Linked DNA regions of Caenorhabditis elegans. The protein of the gene in region 2 purifies or fractionates together with the protein of the main gene of each other region. This does not show direct contact. Each region holds a gene or a part of one and is shown on either strand. Other genes may lie near its edges.

The links.
Region 1: the proteins of rrp-8 (region 2) and rrp-1 fractionate together in Caenorhabditis elegans (co-fractionation; one large-scale study listed by BioGRID). This does not show direct contact.

Annotation. Positions count from the first base shown.
Region 1 is NC_003282.8:9,980,095-9,984,016, forward strand, and holds rrp-1 (Ribosomal RNA processing protein 1 homolog), read right to left. Parts: upstream 2,183-3,922; 5' UTR 2,173-2,182; coding exon 2,046-2,172; intron 1,998-2,045; coding exon 1,774-1,997; intron 1,729-1,773; coding exon 1,617-1,728; intron 1,567-1,616; coding exon 1,053-1,566; intron 966-1,052; coding exon 749-965; 3' UTR 640-748; downstream 1-639. Other genes in the region: dhp-2 (Dihydropyrimidinase 2), read left to right, coding at 1-246, 295-615; mam-2 (MAM domain-containing protein), read left to right, coding at 3,196-3,247, 3,297-3,392. UniProt on the Caenorhabditis elegans protein: May be involved in the generation of 28S rRNA.
Region 2 is NC_003282.8:394,292-398,213, reverse strand, and holds the start of rrp-8 (Ribosomal RNA-processing protein 8), read right to left. Parts: upstream 1,670-3,922; coding exon 1,604-1,669; intron 1,551-1,603; coding exon 1,092-1,550; intron 293-1,091; coding exon 161-292; intron 108-160; coding exon 1-107. Other genes in the region: nog-1 (Nucleolar GTP-binding protein 1), read right to left, coding at 1,966-2,196, 2,253-3,410, 3,462-3,922.

The DNA.
Region 1 (3,922 bases), 9.6 Mb from region 2:
GATGATTTCACAAAAATTCCGAATGGAGTAAACGGAGTTGAAGACAGAATGTCAGTTGTTTGGGATAAAGGAGTTCATGCTGGAATCATTGATCCTATGAGATTTGTGGCAGTCACTTCTACAATGGCTGCTAAGATCTTCAATTGTTACCCACAGAAGGGAAGAATCGCAGTTGGCTCCGACGCGGATATTGTGATTTGGAATGCGAATGCAACTAGAACTATTTCAAAAGATACACATCATCATGTGAGTTTTAGGTTTTAGTAAATTCAATTTTAATGCAAAAAATTCAAGGCGATTGACTTCAATATTTTCGAAGGAATGCAAGTACACGGAGTTCCAGAAATCACAATTTCCCGAGGACGTACTGTTTGGGCAAATGGTCAACTGAAAACTGTTCAAGGTTCAGGACAATTCATTCCTTTGGCTCCAGACTCTCAAATCGTCTTCTCAGCTGTTGACAATCGTAAGAAGGCTATGGAACCTGTGAAAATAGACCGAATTCCATATGAGCCATCGGCACTGCAGACACCTGATGCCAATGCGAACATCGTTGTGAAAGCTCCAGTCAGGGCAGCAATTCCTCCAGGAGGAGCTAGCAGCATTCAGTTTTAAATCTACTTGTAAATAATTGTTTTTTTTTTATTTTTAAAAATTCAATAAAAAAATCACTTCCAAAAAGTAACAATGCATCAAAAATTGAAATTATAACAAAAACATAACAAATCAAGCAACAATGATATTCAGATTAATTTTTCTTTCCTGCTTTTCTTTTCAGGCCGCCGACCATTCTCTTCTTTCCGACTCCTTTAGCTTTCAAAAGTGGGCGCCCTTTCTTCACTTTAGGAACTGCTGTTTTCTTTCCATTTCCTTTTTTAACTTCAGCGATTTCGTCATCTGGAACATCATCTCCGTTCTCCTGCCGTGCAGCTTCGGCAGCCTCACGAGCTCGCTTTTTGATTTGGCTTTAAAAAATTTTTATTTTTAAAGTTTTTACATTTCACGATAAATCTAACAATAAATTCGTCAGCTTAATACGCCTATAAGTGTACCTTTTAACTTTTCTGGACGACTTTCTCTCTTGCTTGAAGCTGTTGGCCAACACAATGGCCTTCTTCTCGGCTTCTTCATAATCATGTCTTGTCAACCTCTCCTTTGGAACTGGGGTCTCGAAATGTAATGGATCTTGTCCACGAGAACTCTTATCGAACTTCTTAACAAGATCATAGATCTTCTTTCTTCTCTTAGCATTTAAATGTTCTTGCTTTCCCACTTCAAATAGCAACGCTCCGATTTCCTTGTAACTGAATTCAATTCCACCTTGATCCATCTCTTCTCCTTCTTCAACAGCGGTGATCAAATCACTTTTCTGCTGGAGAATAGTTTTGAAAATTTCTTCATAAAGTGATGTGAACAAATATTCACTGATGTCTTTGTTTCCGAGAAGTTCAATGTATGGCTTGAGACAGGCCGTCACTTGCTTCTTGGTTAATCCTCCGGCTGCATCAAGTTCGTCGAGAAGAATCGAGGCAAAATGGAACTTTAGAGCTTCGTTGAAGGACTTATCTGAAAATTAATCGAAATATAATGAGAATAAAATTAACAAATCTACTAACCTGTGGAGATAGTAGTTTCCTGGAAAACTTTCCAGTATTCGTCACGGATATCCTTTTTCCATTTTAATTCGGCAAGATGAGTGAAGCAAGCTCGAACCATACGACGAACTTCCTAAAATACAACGACATTTTAGACGAAGGAATATTACAAATTTACCATCAAGAATTTATCCATGCGCCATCGATCGATATGAGGCCACTCTTTGGAAAGACTTTTCAGAAAGCACGCAACAAAGCGTACTTTTTCTTCCTCCGATGTGAAAATATTAATAAGTCCTCCAATTCTGTCAGCCAGCTCTTCCTGAAGAATCATTTTGTCTTGCATCCACATCACATAGTGAAGGCCCTTGCATAAGCGCATCAAGTCAGCATCATCGAAATCTGAATATAAACTTTTAACAATTATATGTAAGTTGGAAAATAACTCACGTTTCTTTGCGGACTGATCACGAATCCAATCGTGAAGAACGCGAAGAGCTCTTTGACGCGTAGCTGGCTCTCCGCAAGCGAGTTTCTGAGCGAAAACTACTTCGACGCTTGCCAAGTCGACATCCATTATTGGAATTCTAAAAAATAAGTAATATTTGAACTGTCTTAAAATAGAAAAGTAACAAATTTTGAAAAATCCATTTGAATAAACTGTATTGGCTTCAACAAGTATTCCAATACTGTTTTTTGAACAGAACCCCGTTTTTACTTGATTTACGGATGAAAGTAATTGTAAAATGGTGAAAAATTATTTTTATAATTTTTTTACAATGAAAGTTTTATAAAATATTGGAAAATCATTACGGAAATACAGAAATTGGAAATAAAAATTGAATGAATAAAAAAAGAATTAGAGGATGCAGTGCACTGGGGCGCACTTGCCTCCTGTGGAGAGAGCATGTGGGACGTAGAGTCGCAGAGTGAACTTGCCTAACTTTTTGGAAACTGCCAAAGAACATCTTATACATTTTCAAAAAATGTCGGTCTTTGAAAAATTAAATAATTTTCATTCGAGAGTTTCGAATCATGTATAAACAGCGATGATGCATGCATGTAAATTATCGGGGAGAGTGCCCGACAACCTCAATAAGGTTTTGAAACTATGTTGGTTCAGAAGAACATGCTTCCTAGAAGTGAAATCTTTGAATATATTAAAATTCGGATGAATTCTCAGTGAAACATATTCATATTTTTCGTTATTCCTCAACACCGAGAATCACTTCTCTCGTCATTCAAATCCCGCTTTTCAGAGTCACAATGAATTGCCGCAATTGTTTTTGCATCAGAAGTAGCTGTCCTCTCTCTCTCTCTCCCTATTTCTTTCATTCTCTTTTCCTTTTTACGCAACAAGATCGTCCTCTATTTATGCATTTATATCAGAAATGAACACGAAAAGAGAAATAGAGAGAAAGACAGTATCTGCTTCTTGGCTTTTCTCCAGCTTATTTTCTCAGAGGATGCAAAAAAGTGGGAGGAGCGTGGTTTTTGTTCAGGAAACGATAACATTCGCCTCCCACCATCCTCTTGCCAACCACCAATTCTTTTAAGATTTTCAGTTTCTACTACATATCTCTAATTCTCCAAATTTTAGATGACAATTTTATTATTGTTTACTGTATTTTTTGGGTTTATACCCTTTACAGGTATTTTGAATTCTAAAAAAGCAACTAGAATAATCGTTGAAAATTTAAGAAGTTGAAGCATGTATGCCTGGATACGAAGCTGAAAGAGATCGATTAAGGGAACATTTAGGAATTGAATGGATCCAAAATGGACTCTCAAAATCAGGTAGGATTTTTGAAAAGGCTGTACTTTTTGGTATGTCGTTAGCTCAAGAAAACATGAATTTAGGCGATAGTGAATCCTGTGTTTATTTTCAGAAATTTCAAATTTCAAAGGGTAAATAAATAAGTACAATCGTGGCGAGGCGCAATTAGAAAATAAGTGTGTGCCTTTAAATTTACGTTTTACTAATTTACGATAGATATATGAGAAAGTTAACTGTGGTTGAGATGAGAAACAAATTGGAGCTTTTCTATGTGTTTCTCTGTTTTAGTTGTGCGGAAATTGGTTTGGATTTTTAAGCCTATCCCAGCTTAAATTTAAAACTAAGACTTCTATAGTACCTGCCTGCTTTAGAGCAGCCAGCCTACTAAATCATAAAACCAAAAAAAATCACGAAGACTTTGCCAACTTCTAATGTTTTTGTCCTACTTTTGTAGCAAGTTCAATAGACACGAGTAAAACAGTCAAAGGAAAATTCCAAGTAGGCACAAGTTAAGGCACAAGGCAGGCATAGGTGGCGTGAAAAGTAACTA
Region 2 (3,922 bases):
GATAGGCAATAAATAACAATATCAGCTGATGAATCTTCAGCTGGAAGTTTCGACATATCGCACGACTCAACACGATCATTCACTGCAACCAAATCGAATGAGCGAATCTATTAAAAAACATGAGAAATGTAATGTGATTTTTCCAGGGAATTATATGAACCTTATGCTTTTCTCCAACGGCTTCTGCAATTTTAGCCTCTCCACAACCCAAATCGAATACTGATTGTTGATCCGGTTTGGATTGAAGCCAGCGGATAATCTCGCGGAGTGGGTGATTTGGCCATTTTTTTACCTGAAAATTTGAGAGTTCACAACTGACAAGACAAAGTTTTCTCGCTCATTTTAGGGGTTGAGAGTATAGCTTTCCCGTTTAAAATTTTGCATTAAAGGTGGAGTAGCGCCAGTGGGGAAATTGCTTTAAAACATGCCTATGGGGCCACAATGACCGAATATCATGATAAAAAAATTCAAAAAAATTTCTAACTTTTATATGATTTTTTGAAAATTGAAAAATCTGTTTTTGCCTAATTCCTATTTGAATTACCGCCAATTGGATTTGTTCGATGGAGCGCGCTTGCACGTTTTTAAATTTATTTATTTTATTTTTTGTTATTTTTCACCGATTTTTAATGTTTTCGGTGTATTCTTTTCGGTGTATGCTCGAACTTTAGAGAAAAGCGTGCTTTTTAATCGAAAATTTTCATTTATTTTGACTTTTTCTCTAAAACTCGAGCAAAAATACACCGAAAACATTAAAAATCGGTGGAAAACAACAAAAAACAAAATAAATAAATTTAAAAACGTGCAAGCGCGCTTCATCGAACAAATCCACTTGGCGGTAATTCAAATAGGAATTAGGCAAAAACTGAGATTTTTTCAATTTTCAAAAAATCATATAAAATTTAGAAAAAATTTTTGAATTTTTTTATCATGATATTCGGTCATTGTGGTACCATATGTTTGCATGTTTTAAAGCAATTTCCCCACTGGCGCTACTCCACCTTTAACATATACTCTTGGAACACCTTCAAATGGCACATATATCATTTTAAAGGCTTCGTTGTGAAACTGAGATACCAATTAATGTTTACCTGATCAGCAAATCCCTTGTGATATAGATCAAAAGCCGTCGGATCCTCCTTGAAGAAATCAAATGCTTCAGAACCAGTACATGTATAGAGTTTTTCGTTCAGAAATCTGAATCGTCCCGCGTCAAGTCTCTTTTTAGCCTCTGCAATTGGATCTGCTTCTTCTGGAGCTGCTGCCACGTCATCATTTTCAGTTTCAGCAGCTTTTCCAGCAACTTCGGGCTTGAACTTCTTCTTTTTTGGGCCCCGTTTTCTCTTCTTTTTCGTATTTTCATCCGAAGAACTCTTTGGTTCGAGAATCAGCGGAGGTTCTTCTGGATTTTCAGATTTCTTGTCAGCTGCTGCCTTTTTTGCGGCAAGTTTACGGACCTTATTACGCCATGGACGTTTCTTTTTCTTTTCAGCGTCAGATTGTGAACTTGTTGGTTTTTCCGTAGATTTCTTTAACCAATTTTCTACTTTCTGCAATTAATTTGTGTTTGAGAACTACGTTTCTTTGAAAATGTGATATTAACCTCTCGTTTCTCAGCTGGCACGTGTTGAGCATCCTTTTCATCCGTAATCTTTCTTTTTTTGCCCATCTGAAGAGTTAATTAAAAAATAGTTTTTCTAATACAGCGAAAAATTCAACGGAATGCTAAAAAATGTGCAATATCGAAGAAAAAAAATAATTCAGAATCTACAAAAATATCAGGAAGAATTTTATTCGGGAAACTCATGTGGGCGAGAAGCCGATTGACGCAGTGAGAAGAAGGTAAAAATGGATGGATGGGTATACAGTTTTTGGAAGGAATAAAAAGCAGGGAGACGAAAAAAAACGAACAGAATAACAAAACAAAAATAACAAAAAAAAAATGAACAAAAGATATATATGTTCTTAACGCCAATCGGTTTTTCCGTTTCCACGTTTTCCACAGAACAAATGCTTTGGCTTGAGGTCGTATACGTGACGATCGGCTTCTCCCTTCTTGGCTTCTCGGCGCAATCCACGCATTGCTTTCGTACGCAACTTGTCGACATGTGCACGTTTTTCCTCGTCTGGGAATGCCAACTCATCACGTGGAGCCGGACGGACGGCGCTGAGACTGCGCGAGCGACCCACTTTCATCTGGAAAAATTATGTTAATTTGAAACCGAAATTATAGATTTCGGTTCTACACAAACCTTCTTTCCAAGTTGTGGTTTGGCACATTGTCCTTGCAAGTTCTTCATTTTCTTCGTGTCAACATCTACACCTAACTCTCCGAGCTCATTCTCTAATCTAGACATTGATCGATCTCTCTTTCTTGAACCATGAATACGTGAACCAATTCTTCCGGCAATTCTCTTGTTAACGGCATGATCCAAAGTCAACAGTTTTTCTTTTTCTCGGATTTGCAATGCAAGCTTCAACTTCTCCTTGGTCTCCTCATCATCACTATCCAAATCTGATTCATACTCTCCGGCTTGCTCCAAGAGCTCCTCTTCGCGAAGCAGATTCTCAAGCTTTGACTGGATTTCCGGGTCAACAAAGTCAGCAAGATTGTGTCCTTCCCAGATTTCGGGAACAATATCGTACTTCTCATCAGGATTCTTCAGCATATAATGTTTCTTAAGATCCAGAATATAATCATCTTGCATTTCCAACTCAATTTCTCTCTCCAAACGACGGGTGTTCTCATCACGAAGATCTCCAAGATCGGTGGATTGGGATCCACCCTTTGCAATCTTTTCCTTTCCAATTTTGCCTGGTTTTTGTGGAATTTTTGCTGCGAACTCATCTCCATCAGTCTCCATGAGCTCTTGAGCTTCTTGCAATTTCTTCTGAGCTCTTTTTGCGGCCAAACCTGGTGGAACAAATGGAGCACGAACTTTCTCGTCACGTGGAGCCGGGTAGGCGACGAATACGCGATTCAGCACACAATCCTCGACATTTGTGATCTTCTTGGCTTGAATTTTAGCTTCAACACGCTGGGCCAAAAGTTCATCGCAAGCACGATCTCTGAGTCCCATAACTCCTTCTTGTGTAAGTGTAGATGTCTCAATAATTGGAATTCCTTCCTTCTCCAGTTGATCCAACAATGCAGCTTTCTCTGGTGGCAAATCAGATCGATGTCTGATGTCAACCTTGTTCAAACCAATAAGAACTGGTTTATTGGCGAACAATGGACGGATCGATTCGAAGAGATGAAGTTGTTCCTCAATACTACGATCACATTGTTCTGAAACATCCATCATGAAGAGCACTGATGCTTTCAGATGAGCCAATGCGGTAACTGCTTGCATTTCAATGGTGTTACGGTCCTCAAGTGGCTGATCCAAGATTCCGGGGGTATCGATAACCTGAAAAGTGAATTATTATCAAGGTTCAAAAGAAATTCGCTTAATACTTACCTGCCATCTGAGGAAACGATAGTCAAGATGTCCAACATAAAGAGCCTTTGTAGTGAAAGCATATGGCTGAACTTCAACATCAGCACGTGTCACATTGTTGATGAATGAAGACTTTCCGACATTTGGGAATCCGCAAAGAATGAGAGTACGAGTAGCTGGATCGATACTTGGAAGGCGAGACAAATGCTGACGGACCTGCTCGAGGTATTCAAAGCTGGACTTTTGTCGCTTTAGCAGCTTGACCATACGTCCAAGTGCGGCTCTTTTGAGCATTTTGCAACGATAAAGCGAGTCGGCGTACTTCATCAAACGAACGTATTCACGGGCGATTCCGTCAATCAAATGACGAGCTGTGTTCATTTGTCCAAGAGCGATTTTGTAGTGATCACGGTCGTAGAGAATGTTCATAAGATCCGAGTAGAATGGATGAATTTCCTCCATTTTCGGGAACTCTGTGATGA